Linked DNA regions of Zea mays. The protein of the gene in region 1 interacts with the protein of each later gene in a pairwise test. Links are inferred from orthologs where the notes say so. Each region holds a gene or a part of one and is shown on either strand. Other genes may lie near its edges.

Region 1 (8,407 bases):
TAAACCTAGGGTTGTTTGGTTGGGCTGTGAAAAAAAGCTATTGTGAGCTGTAAAAAAAGCTGTTGTAGACTGTGAGTCGTTAAAAAGCTAAAACTCGTTTGGTGGAAACCACTAAAAGCCGCTAAAAGTTTTTTTATATATATTTTCACAGTTTCATCCGAAAGCCGCTAAAAACAGGTCTAAAGGTGCTTTAAAGTTTTCGAGAAAGTCGACTTTTAAAAAAATGCTTCTAAATCCAGCCCTTTGATTTAACTTTTGTCTTTTAGGAGGCAAAAGCTAAAGTCAAAAGCCAAACCATGCACACCTCTAGCCACCCTCATGTCTTTATATTTAGAAATATAGAAGAGCAAATATCTCAAATGGTTATAGTATTTAGGGAATATTACCTTAACTATTTAAATTAAATTTTATTTTTTTAATAATTATTATTTGAAATTATGATCAGATATTTTAGGTTTAGTTCAAGTAATTTGGGTTTGGAGATAGGCTATTGGTTATTTTGTCCACCCCCACCATTCAACACCACACGTCTGAGCTGCAGTGGCGGAGCGTGACCGAAAAGCCCAATCCACAGCCGAAGCCAAACAGGCACAAGAAAAGGCTCCTGCTAGCTATATAAGCAATGGATCCAGAATGCAGTCAGAAAGCTTTGTAATCAGCTGAATCAAAGTTTACATGCCAAGGGACCACTACCCAGTTACATTCTACTGTTTTATTTTGGTGGCAAGTAACAAATCAGAGACAACAGTTGTTAAAGTAAAAGCTCAGGCTTAACGTATGAGCTGCAAAATAGAACACCAGAGCTGCTTAGGACCTGTTTGGCTGTTTCTCACTGACGACATCATACAGCATGTCTCTCACATGAAACTATTAGCTAACTAAATGTTAGATAGGCATCAGCCTACCTTCAGCACATAAACAACCTATAGCGGTCTTGTGCCAATAAAAATTGACCAAGATGTGGACTTTCTTTCATCTTGTTTACCAGTAGTCTTTGCAAGAACACACACCATTTTCGAAGTGGTGGAACCTCTTTGCATCCCTTGCAATGATCTGACGTCCAACAAGTTTTGAGATTATCTTGAAAGCCGTGTGACAATCCCCACAGGATCGAAGATTCTTTATAACCCGAATAGGTGAGCGGGGAGCACTTGTTATAAGACCGTAACTGATAGCCAGCCTCTCACTGTGAGCCAGTAAAGCATCCTCTTTGGTTTCTTGATCAACATCGTGAAGAACAAATCGAGTGTCAGCAATATACCCAGCTTCCTTCATGTGAGCCAACAAATACCTCAGCTCTTCATAGATCTTAGGAGTGTCAGGGTGAGATCGGTCGCCAGCTCTGTATTCATGGACCTTGCTCCGAGCTTCGGCGACACTTGCCTTTTTCCTTTCCTTTTCCTTTGCAAGATCTGACACATCGACAGGGAACAGACCCATTTTAGACTGTTCATTCAGCCTAGAAGAATCCAAGCACTCTATGATCTGAGCACAACGATCTCCAAGCTCTAAAAAGCCATTAAGTCGACACATGTTCATCAAATTTTCCCATACCTCAATGCTTGGTTCCACAGGCATCCGTTCCACGAATTCATAAGCCTCGACAATGTAGCCAGACTGTCCAAGCATAGTAACAATGCTTGCATAATGCTCTGTAGTGGGATGTATGCCAAAATCTTTCTGCATGGATTCAAAATGCAACATTCCTTCATTAACAGATCCCAAAATTCCACATGCCAAGAAAACATGTCTGAACATGCCATGATCTGGCTTGTCCCCTGTCTGCTTAAACCGTTCAAAAAAATCTATTGCTTCTTCACCAAGAACATTGTGCACAAAACCTGAGATCATAGTGTTCCAAGAAGTCAAATTATGATGATCCATAGAACTGAAAATCTTCTTTGCATCTTCCATAGAACCACACCTAGCATACATCTCCATAATTTTGTTTTGAAAATCTGTGTCAACAGTAAGTGATGATTCAGATATTTGACTATGTATTAATCTTGCTTCTGAAAGGGCAGTTGCATCACCACATGCTTGCATCAATCTGAAGTACTGAGGAGCATGTAGCACAATTCTGTTTTCCTTTAGCATAGCCAAAACTTCCAGAGCTTCTTTTACATTGCCATCATCACAAAACTTCTCCAGTTCTTCAACAGTACATTTGTGTTTGCTGCCAGCTTCACTAGGTACTTCGTAAGGCGATCCAACATTTGAAGGGTTGCCTTGTAGTGACTGATGATATTTGCCATATTCATGAGGTGCACTATTTACATGGTTCCCAAATGATCCAGCAGATTGTGCATGTGAATGTTTTTCTTGATGAACTCCATGAGAGAGGCGTTGCACATCTGTATTTAGGTACATGGAATATCCTTGAGAAGTACTATGTGTATCAGCCTGCCTAGTGAAATAAGGGCTTTGATATGCCTGCGAAGCATTATATCCAAAATTACTATTGTTGCCTTGCTGAAACCCTGCAACATGCTCCTTACGGGAATGAGTTGGATTTACATATTGAGAGGGATGATGCCCAGATCTATCTGGATAACTTCCCCCAGATCTATGATCAACATATTGCTGTTTCTGAACTCGCTGGCTATTTCCAACTGGGTTCGGACATGGTTGTCCTGAAGGACCATATCCATACTGCCCATTATTAGCTCCCTCTCCTTCATAAATCTTCTGCTTACTTTGGGTGTAGTATCCAGAGCTATATGTACTATTAGCTTCTGTGCCATTGTACTGTTGACGATCATTTGAAAAATGTCCATCAAGGCCTTGCTGGCTGTATGGACCACTACCTCTATAAGGTTGTGATGCATTGTATCTCTCATTATTCGCTCTTGTACCAGTATATGGCTGATGATTGTTTTGAAAGCCATATGATCCACCACTTCTGTAATGTTGCTCAGAACTGCCACCAACACCATCCACACCCTTATTTTTGTGAGTACCTGTTGTGGAACCAGCTGAAGTGACATCTCTCTGAAGTTGGAGATTAGAGCCGTTCCAACGGGAGTCAGTGTAGCTACCTGCTTTGTTTTGTCCCCACTCACGCTGATAATCTTCATCAGTCCTTTCAGATGCAAAGGTACCAGCCCCTCGATGTGGAACCCAAGACTGTAGACAAACTCTTTCAGCTGGAAGCCTGCAAGATAAAAGAACCATGCTTTTAGGATGACCCTGAATTGAAAATTTTCAGGTGCAATGTCACTCCTAACAGGTAAGTGTTTTTTCCATTTTGAAAAGTAACAAGCAACATCCTAGTGAACAGAAACACGAATTAGAATTACTGTGAGTCTATGCCAAGGTCCAAGGAATAATTCATGTTCTAATCAGGCAAAAATGACTAGAAATTTCCTTCCCAGAATAATTGGCTACCTTTTGTTTTTAAAAAGTTATATTCTGTTCTGTTCTTAGCAACTGGGAACAATTTACAGAGAACCAAATCGCTTGAGAAGATCTCCAAACTCTAGCCTAGAACAAAAAGATTAGCAACAAGGAATAGCATCGCGTCATATGAATCAACGAGTCAGCACCGAGGCAGTGGCACAGTACCTGAGTGGCGAATCCATGGGCCGGTAGAGGGGAGCTGGCGCGGCCGACGCCGCGATGGTGCCGCGAGGAGAGAACCGAGCGGCCAAGAGCGCCCTACGCGCTCCAACCATTGCAGCCATCTCCCACCCTCTCCCTCTGCACCTCCCTGGGGGCTCGCTTCCTCCCCTTTCTCTTCGTCGCTTAAACCCTCACGAAGGCGAAGCGGCGGCTGCTCCCGGCCGCCAAGCAGATGCGCTGCCTCAGGCAGGCCGTGCGTCGCGTCGCGTCACTCGCGTGGCTATGGAATGGGTTGCTGCGGTGCCGTCGTGGGTTTGGTGTGGTATCGGGTTGGATAACATAGCTCTGGTCAGTGTGATTGGGCCGGCTCAATGAAATTATTGGTTGGGCTCACCCGTCTCGCGGCATCGTAAGATTGCTCCGCTCACCCGTCTCACCACAACACCGAAGCAGCCGAGAACCGGACCCCGCAAGGCCGCAACAGCAAGGGCAGCACTGCCGAAACCGCAGGCCGCAGCACTCGAGAGCGCAGCCAGGCGGCGGCGCTCCGCCTCCGACTCCACACCAGGCCGCTGCGTCCATGGACCCCTCCCCGCAGTCGACGCCGCCCACCGGAGACGACCCGGCAGCGGCGGCGGATCCCGACCTACCGAGGCTCACGGTGACGCAGGTGGAGCAGATGAAGGTGGAGGCCAGGGTTGGCGACATCTACCGCTCCCTCTTCGGGGCCGCGCCCAACACGAAATCCATCATGTGAGCATCCCTAAGCACACGCTAGTTTTCTCACTTCTATTTGAGTATATCCCCTGGCTGCCGACAGCCGGCAGTGCTTGGCGGGTCTCAACGCATGGATTTAGTTTGGATATTGGAGTATTTGATACGCTGTAGCTTGAAAAATAGCTAGTCCTCTGATAACTTTGCCCGTGGCACCAGATAGTTCAGTGCAGGGTTTCTGATTTGGTGCGTACAGAAGCTTAGTACTGCTAGTTATGTATTGTTGGATAGCGTCTTAGACACAAACACTTGAATGTGAGTTGATATTAGGGTGTGGGTCCACTGTCTCCTCATCAGCCTTTTGTTGTCGAGTTGTTTTCTGTGCAGGCTAGAGCTGTGGCGTGATCAGCATATCGAGTATCTGACGCCTGGGCTGAGGCATATGGGACCAGCCTTTCATGTTCTAGATGCCAAGTAATGATTGTGCATGGTTAAGTTATCTTTGCAATATCCTGTTTGATTGTGACACTAATGCATATTTGTTCTGGTATTGCTTTTAATTGGTTTCAGTCGCCCTTGGCTATGCTACTGGATGGTTCATCCACTTGCTTTGCTGGATGAAGCACTTGATGATGATCTTGAGAATGATATCATAGACTTCTTAGCTCGATGTCAGGATAAAGATGGTGGATATAGTGGTGGACCTGGACAGGTTGCTCCAATCCCAAAATCTTTTGAGCTAGATAATATCTTTGATTTTGCTATTAGCATTGATTTTTTTTCTAAATAAGATCTTCGATTTATGTAGTGCATGCATTAGCCTTGGATATGTCCAATGAATCGCCGAGGACATATATGTTTGTTGTTTCACATTAAATCCTTCTTTAGCTCACCTGGTTGTAATTGTAGCATTTTTAGTTGATATTAGCATGTCCATGTAACAAACAAAATATCTGCCGGTGGTGGTGGGTACTATGCTTTTGATTTGTATACTCAAGGCTATCTTTTTAGATAGCAAAGCTAAATTATTGGGTGCTTTAAATTAGCCTTCTCATTCAATTAGCATTACTTATGAACCAGAAATCTTGTTTGTTATTGATTTATGAAGTCTGTTTGAGTTCATTTATGTTGAGTTTGAGTCATTCAAGAGGGTAAATTATAGATTGTTTTTATACAAAGTCCACGTCCTTTGCAGTTGCCTCACCTAGCTACGACTTATGCTGCTGTAAATACACTTGTGACAATAGGGAGCGAAAGAGCATTGTCATCAATCAATAGGTAAATCTCATGGTTGCTCTAAAACAAGATCTACAAGAGTCATTTTGTTAATTATGTTTACCTTGTGGGTCAGGGGCAACCTGTACAATTTTATGCTGCAGATGAAAGATGTATCAGGTGCTTTCAGGTACGCAACCTATCAGCGTGGATAATGTACAGATACCACTTTCTCAGTTGTAGCCCTTCAGAGGTGATGCCTGCCACTCATTTTTTCCTTTGCCCTAGAATGCATGATGGTGGCGAAATTGATGTCCGTGCTTCCTACACCGCTATATCGGTGAGTTTCTTTTGGTCCTTTGCAATTTTTCTGCAGTTACTTGATATTTTCTGATGTTGACTTTAGGTTGCCAGCCTTGTGAATATTCTTGATTTTAAACTGGCAAAAGGTGTAGGCGACTACATAGCAAGGTTTTGTTTGTGTTATATACATTCAATTTTTTCCAGTTGCAAAATTGTTGCTTGGTCACAGTTCTTTTCTAGAATGTTGCTCAATTGATATACTATATGACTGCAGATGTCAAACTTATGAAGGTGGTATTGCTGGGGAGCCTTATGCTGAAGCACATGGTGGGTATGTTTCTAAGGATTTCTGTGAAGTTTGAAATTTATATGTTAAGAACATTAACAAAGTTGCATTCATAAGGTATACATTCTGTGGATTGGCTGCTTTGATCCTGCTTAATGAGGCAGAGAAAGTTGACTTGCCTAGTTTGATTGTAAGATAACCTCTTCCTCCCTTAGTTTATTTAATTTACTTCTATAATTATGATGTGTTTATGTGTATTAGATCATTAAGTTATTTTTTAGCTCCTTGGTGAAAGTGCATGACAAGTAGTAGATACTTGTGTGTTTGGCTGATGCAACAATTGTTTTTGTTACAATATTTGGCGTTGTTGCTGGCATCTTCACCATTTAGGGCTGGGTGGCTTTTCGTCAAGGAGTGGAATGCGGATTTCAAGGACGAACTAATAAATTGGTTGATGGTTGCTACTCCTTTTGGCAGGTAATTGTAACATCTGTCTACTTTTATCTTTGCCACATGTTGTGCTCCATGTTACAGAAATCTAGTGTGTGACCAGGGAGCTGCCATTGCTTTCACACAAAAGTTAATTACGATTGTTGATAAGCAATTGAAGTCCTCGTATTCCTGCAAAAGGCCATCAGGAGAGGATGCCTGCAGCACCAGTTCATATGGGTGCACCGCGAAAAAGTCTTCCTCTGGTAAGAATCAGGACCATTTTTTTTTCTTATGGATTGAAAATTATTTCTCCACTTTTGTTTGTGATAAATATGAAAGAAGTTTTTGTAGATAGATGTAAACTGTAATTGATTGGAACTTCTTTATTCCTCGTGCAATGCAGCAATCAACTGATAACTTAAAAAAAGGCAGTTTTGCTGTATATTTTCTAGTAGGTGGGTGAGCAAACAGTACCGATTATCAATTTTTAAAACCTTGCCGCTTACTGTCGACCTAATGCCATTCCTCGTACTGTTTATACTTTTGGTGCATTTGATGTGCAAATTTATAATGCCCCCATAAGATCATGACCTGACCTGAACTAACGTATTGATTTTCAAATTATGCGGGGCTTGATTTATGTCATGATACTCAAATGTTTTGCTTGTTCTCCTGAAGCTGTGGACTATGCGAAGTTTGGATTTGATTTTATACAACAGAGCAACCAAATTGGCCCACTCTTCCATAACATTGCCCTGCAACAATACATCCTACTTTGTTCTCAGGTGAGGTAACTTTGAATACAATATTATTTTCATATGCAGAGTTTTATCACTAGAATGTGAAATTCTGCAATGCCGTCTTATTATAGTTGTTACCACCCTCTATCCCGAAATTATAAGTTGTTTTAGCTTTTCTAGGTTACATAACTTTTGATATGCACCTAGATATACAATGTCTACATACATAGCAAAAGTTATGTGCCGAAAAATGCCGAAACAACCTATAAATTGGAACGGAGGGAGTATTTATTGAGGAAATGAGATCTCAGATAAGTTAAGATTACAATCGCTTCTGTAACTCAGGTACTAGAGGGAGGCTTGAGGGATAAGCCTGGAAAGAACAGAGATCACTATCATTCATGCTACTGCCTCAGTGGCCTCGCAGTTAGCCAGTACAGTGCCATGACTGATACTGGTTCGTGCCCATTACCTCAGCATGTGCTTGGACCGTACTCTAATTTGCTGGAGCCAATCCATCCACTCTACAATGTTGTCCTAGATAAGTACCATACAGCCTATGAGTTCTTCTCAGAAGAGTGATCTAATGTTAGAACCTAAGAACAATTGGCTAAGGTTGTGTACGATTGTGTTATTTGCACGAATGATGGTAACTTAGTCGTGTTATACCAGGGTATTTGTATGTTTGGTCAGGTGGATTGCCTGGATAAATCTCTCTGTTGTAATGGTCGTGTCCCGAATTATGTTTGTAATGGTCGTGTCCCGAATTATGTTACTGGTGTTCATTATTAGTTAAAATGCAACAGAAGTGTAGGTCTAGATGCTGCATAGTGATCTGTGGATGCTAGAACCAAGTGTTTGTACGTAATACTGTTATGATGGTACTAAATTGATTAGTTAAATGCACGATTATGGTACCTGAACCTAGGGATTTTTGGGATGAAAATGGTCGAAAACGATCGGTAAATGCTAAAACCGTTTCCGTTTCCATAATTTTTATCGGAAATGAAATCGGAAACGGTAACTCTAGAAACGGAAATAATATCGGTATTTAGAAAACATCGAAAACGAAAGTTCAGCTACGAAAGTACATCGTTAACGGTTGGAATTTAAAATACGATAGGTAAACATACTATTATGAAAATAACTTAATAAA
Region 2 (8,407 bases), on another chromosome or scaffold:
CTTTCCAAAGAGATTCGGGCGTCCTCTCCCGTGCGCCTGCGGTTGAGTTCGGCCCAGAGGTCGTTGGTCTGTGTGCCCTTACTGAGGGTGAGCGCACAGACGCCGACGCCTCATGTTGGCGTCGGGATGACCGTGACCTCGACCTGGTCGAGGTAGAATGCGCCATGCCGAGCAGTCGGTCGACGTCGTTCCGCCACTGCTTCATGGCCCCTAGTGAGGTCGTGGAACTTGGAGGGTGTCGCAACAACTCCCTGGCTGCTAACAACGCTCCCGAAGCCGCCCTCGACGGAGTCCGAGATGTCTATGCGGCTGTATGCTGCCGTGCAGCGTGCACAACAGCGGTGCCCGGCATTGGGCGGTTGGAAACCTGTGGCGTGGAAGAAATAGTTTCTTCCTCCACCAGGAAATCCGTGGAAGTCTCGGCGCGGTGCTCAACGATTTGCACCATCATGCCGAGCGAGGAAACAAGCAAAAACCTAATGCCTAGGCCCCTACCTGGCGCGCCAAATGTCGGAGAGGGAATTCTCCGGCCAGGTGGCGGAGTGCACCCGCCCTAAATCCTAAGATGAGGAAGGGGCTTAAGCGTTTTGCCTATCCTGCTAAGCGAACATCAAGCACATGAACACGCGAGAGTTTAGAGTGGTTCAGACCGCCGGAGCGTAACACCCTACTCCATTGTATGTTGGATTGCTGTGGAAGCTTGAGAATTGAGTGTCTAAGTTGGGCCTAAGTCTGTCCCAGCGAGCCTGTCTTGTAACGTTGCATGCCTCCCCTTTTATAGCTAAGGGGGGCATGCATAAAGGTACTGAGCCCCGACATGTGGGCCCAGGAACATAACAGACGTAGCACTTGGAGCCACAAATGTTCGCTGCTGGAGCAATCTTCTTGCGCCCTGACATTCGAGATCTGCGTAGTATCGGCGTGCAGGGGAAGCTTCTCGTATAAGGGATGATGAGCACAGTGCGCCGTGCGGCACCGGTGCACTGTTTGATAGTGGATTGGACAGGTGCGCCGTCTGCAGGGTGGCTCTGACGCCGCCTGCCAGCGGAGTGGACAAGACACAATAAATGCTGAGGGGGCACATCGCCAATGCAGAGTCCGCGCGGTCTAGGGGCCTTACGCCAGGCTCCGCCCGCTGGCTTATGTCACGGGCAACGAGCCACGTGGGCGCATCGGGTCTCCGCTTGAGCGGGGAGCGCATGCGCAGAGTAAAGCCCGGCCACGCGTCAGCACCGGACCCTTGCTCATGCCAGGGTTTCCCCTGTCCCAGGACCTTGTTGCGGCCCGGACCTTACTCGGAGGGATCTGGACCCCATCCAAGGGACCCGGCACGCTTACTCGGGAGTCCCGGGCCACAATCGGGGGTCCGGGTTGTGCGTACAGGGGTCCGGCGCTCCCTTGCGGAGGTCCGGCTCGACTGACACATCCTGGATGTATCATCTTTCCTTGCCATATGGTGCCCCTTGATCTGCCCATGTGGTGGGGACGAGCGTTGTTCACAGTGTGGCTAAGGAACGACGTACGAGTACCGCGTCTTCATACTGTAGTAAGAGGTACCCTGTTTCAGGGTACCGACACCGCCATTCTTCCTCCTCCCATCTATTTGTGTCGTCTCCTGGTTTCGTTTGCCTAGGGTTTGTTCTACTCCTCCCCGTATTCCCCATCGCTGCTCCCCTTTCTTGCCCCTCTTTGGAGCTTTGGTCTCTGCTGCTAGCCGTCGCCTTCCTCACTTGAGCACTAGATCTGTGCGATTTGGCTGGTTGTTCGCCTACAGTTCTTCTTCATTCGATTTGGCTGGTCACTGGTTGGGTTTGATTATGCCTTTTGTCTCCTCCCCATTTTCCATCTTGTTTCTTTTTAGCATGGCAAACACCGCTGAGAGGTCGGCCTTGAAATCTGCCTTTGCTGTTGATGAGACACGTAAAGCCTTAGTTGTTGCGGCAATGAATACACAAGGAGACGGCGCAAATGGACGGGAGGAGGAAGAACAGAGGCAGGGACAGGAAGGGAAGAGCATAGATCCTAACGGAGATCAGGCGGTGCCAAAACCAAATCTTTAATGTGCACTGGATTATGATGCTAATATTGTAATTGACGTGTTCGAGGTAGGGGTGACAATTTAACCCCCGAAACCCGACTGGATGCAGGTATTAGTGAAATTTTGATCCACGGATGCAACCTACACCTGGTCGAAGTTTCGCGGGTGTGGTTGATGATTTCTATTTAAACCCGCGGGTGACCCGCACCCGACTTAAAATTTGGTGTATTCATTATTTTGCGCAATAATTAAGATACAATAGTAATTATTTTTAATAAGTGACTTGACTAATGATTCATGAAGTGTTTTGTTGTTGCTCAACATGTGAAGGCTAAAATCTATAGATATAACTCAATTATTGTTGATATTTAATTGTTTGTAGTTAAAATATTACTTAAAAGGTACAATGATCTGAAACCCGATAAGTTTAGATACGAGTTTAAAATTACGTCCACAGGTATGATCGCAGACGGATTTAGATAGACTTTTGTGGTCACGGGTTTTGATACACCCGACACAGGTCCAATTCTCTCAAGCATGTGAGAAATTTGTGATTTTGTCACTCCCAATTTTGGTTGTCTGCTATTATGTCATCCTGTATCTATGACTGGTAGGACCATCTGTGTCTATGATTTGTGGGTCCGATGATATACTGGCGAAACCCATAAATCATAATGTCAAAATTGCCAATATCTCCAAGCCTGTCGATGCCAAATCTATACTATACTTAAAACACCAGTTTCAACGGTCGTCATGCGTCATTTTTTTACAAATAACCCCTCACAGCTATTTCAAATTAATTCGTTGCACGTCTATAGATGCGTAAAATGTTAAAAAATAGTGTAGGAGGTGGGGTTCGAACGCATGCCCTGATGGAAGAAGGGCGGGAGACACTAGGTGAAATTGTCTAACCAGTAGAACATCACGCTAAAATGTTTTTAATATTGAATATAAATTGTATATAGGTATATACGCTTTTTTGTAAAAATTAAAAATAATCGTGTCGGGCCGGTCCAGCACTACGGGCCGACTGAGACCACATTGGCGCAATAGACTACATGGTGTTTGAGGTTGCTGAATTAGATGGGGCAGCAATGATTGGTCACACTAACAGCAAAATGAAAGGTTATTTGTTAGTTTTAAACGTTAATAATTGCTACGAAGTAGCGTAATTTATATGAAGCGCATCCAGTTTTTATTAATGCCTGACTTTAGCAATCACTCCATATTTTGATCTATCTTTTTTATAAGTTTGACTTCACGGGACTTATTTTATAAACTTGATCTCGCAAACTTTCTCTTATTTGATCTCTGTATGATGGAATTATGTCATTTTATAATCTCTGTTCATTCAGTCAATCGTTGTGAACTATCTTTTAATCGCTCACTTAATTGGTTGTGTTGTACCAAGACATATTTGTATGTAGTAAACAATAACATCAGTTAGCCAAATCAAAAATATATTATACAGAGAGCGGAGACGATCGATAAAAAAATCTTGAATTTTTTTTGATGGATAGTTTATGTTGGTATTGTTGTAAGCCGTCGCAACGCACCGGCAACCGACTAGTATGAAAAAAAATATCACTTTCTTCTCTCTTCTTATTCAGTTCTGTTTCGTGCCAATCAGACGGCGGCCGCCTCCTCTCCCCCCGCTGCCGAGCTCACCCTTCCGCCTGCCGCCTGAACTTGTCTCGCCCGCGGCAGATCTGCTCCTTCCGCTCGCTGCACCGCAACCCGGATAGGAGACCGCGCGCGGTCGAGAACTACCTGGGGACCAACGTCCTCGACCAGCTCCGGTGCGGCCGGCACACAGCTCCACAGGTAGGTCTCCGTCACAGTGCCACGATATTCTCCCTCCGTCCCACGCCAACAGCTCGTCCTCTCCGTCTGCTTGATTCTGCTCTAGCCTCAGACCGGCCGTCGCTCTAAAAAGATCATTACGCACACAATCTGCTGGTACCTGTATGCTGCAATCCTACCCTGCCTTGTCTTTTTGCATCACCTAAGAATGCCCCCCCCCCCCCCCCCCCTCCCCCCCAACGGCCATCGCTGTTGTCCTACTTCGCCAGCGATGAGCACCGCCTGGTATTCGCTCCCCTTGCTGTGCGAAACCGTGTGCCCAAACCTTGACGTAACTCGTAGGTACGGCCTCTCCTTCTTCCCTTCCTGCTGTGTGAAACCGTGCGCCCAAACCCTAACATACTATTCGCAATCGGATCTGAATCTAATTACAAGTGTATATGCATGTATTATACCTACTAACCTCGATGACTTTGCCAAAATTATTGGGTGTAGATGTGTACACCCATGTCCTTTACTGGGCCCTCTCCTGTGGCCGGTTGCTGTTCCATGAAAGGAACACGGAAATTAATTAACTTAAATTCGAATCTCTGTGTGATGTGTGTTGATGCCTGAAAACTGAATCTTTATTATTGTCTTATTGGCCTGTGTTGATGCCAAAATGAATCTTGTGGACACCAGTCACACCACTGCACTATGTTGATGTTGAAAATAACAAATTAAACTGATAGACTAAACACGGCAGTTCAATGGTTCAAGTAGAATAATAGTGTCCTTGAATAATTGTTAGACAACATTACTGTTAGGTTCTTTGTGTTTTTTCACTTATCTTGCTGCTGACTTTTCTGTTTGTAGATTTGGACAGCGCAATTACTTAAGCTATTTGTATTCGGATCTGATCCAACCCTGGTGGTCAGCTGGACTCATCGCCCATGGAGCACACTAAGTCAGGCCCCAGCAGTTGGCCAGAACTGGCCGACGTGGTGCCGGTGCCGCAGGACGATGGGCCTAGCCCTGTGGTGTCCATCGCCTATCGAGATGACTTTCGTGAGGTCATGGATTACTTCCGCGCCCTCTACCTCACCGGTGAGCGAAGCCCTCGCGCTCTCCGCCTCACCGCCGAGGCCATCGAGCTCAACCCCGGCAACTACACTGTGAGAATTCCCTTCATCCTTTTTTCTTGGCATACTTCAATTTTTTATGGGGTTATTTGAAACTTAAAGTTTCTATGAACAAGTGAGAATGATTTTTAAGGTAAAATATACTACTTTTACTATGGAGGTTCAGCCATTTCGTTCCAATTTGACTTGAAACCAACTAACCAAGTGTTAGTGGTGAGCTTCAATGACTACAATGGAGACAATTTGTTATCCACTACTCGTCTTAGTCAGTTATGAGTATGCAACACTGCTACAGAAAGTAGAAAAAACAGCGGAGGTGGAGCCAGTTTTAGAAAGTTGGAATTTTCCATGTAAACTACCTAGTCTAGCCTGTAGCCTGTTGCAGTTTTAGAAAGATTGTCCTCTCATGTTAATGCTGCCTCTCATTCAATCATAAAGAATACTTTATCATCCTCCATGATTTTTATAGAAGGTAAAGGCATACTGCTTGGGCATAATTTTCTTCTTGTAATGCTTCATGCAGTATGCTACATAATTCTTGAACAGCACTGATGTTATGTAGTATCAGAGAATTACTTATTATGCTATTACCAGCTTATTACCATGTTGTTTTACTTTGTATCATGTATTTGTTTTTAGATCAGTCAATTCTTTTGATGGTAACTTTTTTGACAATACAGAATAATTATCTATTTGATAGGTCTGGCATTTCCGGCGCCTTATTCTGGAGTCACTAGATTTTGATTTACTAGAGGAGATGAAATTTGTCGAAAAAATTGCTGAATGCAATCCAAAAAATTACCAAATCTGGTGAGTTTCATTGTACATATATTTTTTCACATTTAGTAATTCACTGCATATCTTTTTTCACATTTAGTAATTCACAGAAACTAATTTATCTTTGGTGTCTGCAGATTTTGCATGAATGATTGGCAATATCTTGACTAAATATCTTCCATAGTTTTTTTAAACTTTGATCATCTTTTATCTTTGCTCTGGAAAAGTGGAAATCATGACTAACTGTTGATGGTCCAATTTTATTACCAGGCACCATAAGAGATGGCTTGCTGAGAAATTAGGACCTGGTATTGCAAACAAAGAGCATGAATTCACAATGAAGATACTTGCTATTGATGCAAAAAATTATCATGCTTGGTCTCATAGGCAGGTATGCGTACCCATTTTCTGTATTCTAAGTTTCCAAATTTGGGTACTAAGCTAAACTGAGTATCAGTAAAATCTTTCTTCTACTAACGGGATTGCTTAATTCAATTGTTATAGTGGGTTCTTCAAGCGTTGGGGGGATGGGAGACTGAATTAGAATACTGTGACCACTTACTTAAGGAAGACGTCTTCAATAATTCAGCTTGGAATCAGGTCATGCTCTATTATTTCCGCCTTAAAATTTTCTTGTTTTCCCATCATGTTTGAGAAAATTTTCCAGTTTTTATGCAGTTTAACTTGCATTGCTTCATTATTTTAGTTCGCAGATCATCCCATGTTAATTTCATACAATTAGTATGGATAACTGTATGCATTCTGATTTACTTCCTGTATTTTAAAGTCTACGGCATTATAGAAATTACAATCGCCTATGTAAACATTTTCTCTGTTATTTGTAAAAAAATGTATATAAGATCATGTCTATGTAACCAACATAGGTAGTACATATCTGTCAAAGCTGGGCAAAGTTGATTGTATGACTATTCTTGACATTCATATTGCCTGTTACATCCTGCTGTGTCCTGTGCTGCTTCCTAAGTGTTTTTTTTTCTGCTGACTGATAGGGATCAGCTATTAAGCTTGCACTGAAGTATCTTTAACTTTTTCTCCAACAGAGATACTTTGTTATAACAAGATCACCATTTCTTGGTGGCCTTGCGGCAATGCGTGATTCAGAAGTAGACTACACAATTGAAGCTATTCTAGCAAACGCTCAGAATGAAAGCCCCTGGAGGTACCTCAAGGGTCTATACAAGGGTGAGAATAACCTGCTAGTAGAGGACGAGCGCATCTCTGCTGTTTGTTTCAAGGTCCTGAAGAATGATTGGACTTGTGTATTTGCTTTGAGTTTGCTGCTCGATCTTCTCTGCACTGGTTTGCAGCCTTCAGATGAACTTAGGTCCACTCTTGAAACAATAAGGAGCTCCCATCCTGAAACCGCGGATGATGATCCTGCAGCCGCTGTTTGCTGTATCCTGCAGAAATGTGATCCCCTGCGGGTAAATTATTGGTCTTGGTTCAAGGACACTCTTTCTCAGATCTCATGACTTCACATGGGTTCACCCCTTGTCCGCGCTGGTCCGGGCTCTGTGAGATAGACATGTTTTAGATAGTTTCATTGGACACCCAAACAGAGCGGACAGAGTGTATGGCTGCTACCTTCTCCGTGACTGAAAGCAGTGCTTGTAACGATTTTGTTTAGTAAAATTTGTGAGTGTTACTGCTCCAAACAACACCTTATGCAACCATATTTGAATATTTCACATGTAAGCTTGAATCCAGGTGTGTTTGTTAATGTATTACAATTGCCATGGGAGCCTAAATGAGACCCATAATCACTTCCACTAGAGTCGGAAGACCGTGTCGAGCAGTTCACTCATATGGTCACTTAAAGCACTCTTCTGCACTGTAAATTGTAATATTCGCAGAGTTTTAAATATGGGTATGACGATGAGTACGCTGCTGAAAATAGTCTAACCATTTGCTTTGATTTTCAATGACTCTGGCATAACTTTTATCAGGACATATATCATTTAAAAGTAAATATAGTATAAGTGAATGTGATTTTTATTGTACACGATAATACAAAATCTGTGATTTTAAGGTGGGCAATAACATGTTGGTTTCGCTCTTGATTGAAGGCAGCCACCAATCGGTTCTAAACCTGTGAGTCTCAAACACTATTGGTTTGAAGTCCCAAATCAGAAATGAACCTACGAATGCTACTGGTTTAAGCGCCGAGGCCGTTTTCAGTATAGTGGTTTATGGCGTCATTTTTAAAAAGGCCACATCAATAAAATGTAAAAGTTCGATTATATTGTTTCACGGGCTTTCCCTTAGCATTTCTTGACTCAATTTGAGTTGAAAGTGGAACAAAGTCTTTTGTTTCTTAAAAATGATGCTTAGGCTAGATCTAACCCTTTCGGGCTACGGTGTCGATCGTCATTAATCCTTATCTATTGTAACTCTCTGGTGCACAACATTATATTAACTTTTCTTTTACATATTTAATATTGTAGTAAATGAAACACGGTGTTTTATTAAAAAAATTCATCAAACACATAAATAAGCAAATAAAAACTATGTAGTTCATAAAGAAAAATTAAAACTGTATTATTCAAAATAAATAAAAAATATAATATACATAGACCAAATTTTAATTACATTACTTTAAATAATAAAAAGTATAAGATGCATAAAAAATACAATATTTGACAAAATA

Evidence for each region.
Region 2: the proteins of Protein farnesyltransferase subunit beta-like (region 1) and protein farnesyltransferase/geranylgeranyltransferase type I alphasubunit interact in binary tests that used the Arabidopsis thaliana proteins (3 or more experiments, as listed by UniProt). The link is inferred for Zea mays from reciprocal best matches to the Arabidopsis thaliana genes ERA1 and FTA.

Annotation. Positions count from the first base shown.
Region 1 is NC_050098.1:205,213,791-205,222,197, forward strand, and holds Protein farnesyltransferase subunit beta-like, read left to right. Parts: upstream 1-4,080; 5' UTR 4,081-4,141; coding exon 4,142-4,314; exon of another isoform or gene 4,315-4,518; intron 4,519-4,647; coding exon of another isoform or gene 4,648-4,662; coding exon 4,663-4,749; intron 4,750-4,845; coding exon 4,846-4,987; intron 4,988-5,470; coding exon 5,471-5,553; intron 5,554-5,626; coding exon 5,627-5,680; intron 5,681-5,778; coding exon 5,779-5,830; intron 5,831-5,896; coding exon 5,897-5,961; intron 5,962-6,067; coding exon 6,068-6,124; intron 6,125-6,196; coding exon 6,197-6,269; intron 6,270-6,469; coding exon 6,470-6,556; intron 6,557-6,632; coding exon 6,633-6,774; intron 6,775-7,189; coding exon 7,190-7,296; intron 7,297-7,596; coding exon 7,597-7,833; 3' UTR 7,834-8,167; downstream 8,168-8,407. Other genes in the region: pentatricopeptide repeat-containing protein At4g32450, mitochondrial, read right to left, coding at 982-3,154, 3,565-3,683. UniProt on the Arabidopsis thaliana protein: Catalyzes the transfer of a farnesyl moiety from farnesyl diphosphate to a cysteine at the fourth position from the C-terminus of several proteins having the C-terminal sequence Cys-aliphatic-aliphatic-X (CaaX).
Region 2 is NC_050097.1:199,354,591-199,362,997, forward strand, and holds protein farnesyltransferase/geranylgeranyltransferase type I alphasubunit, read left to right. Parts: upstream 1-3,678; 5' UTR 3,679-3,862; exon of another isoform or gene 3,863-4,183; intron 4,184-4,696; 5' UTR 4,697-4,773; coding exon 4,774-4,995; intron 4,996-5,662; coding exon 5,663-5,772; intron 5,773-6,009; coding exon 6,010-6,130; intron 6,131-6,243; coding exon 6,244-6,339; intron 6,340-6,800; coding exon 6,801-7,232; 3' UTR 7,233-7,528; downstream 7,529-8,407. UniProt on the Arabidopsis thaliana protein: Essential subunit of both the farnesyltransferase and the geranylgeranyltransferase complex.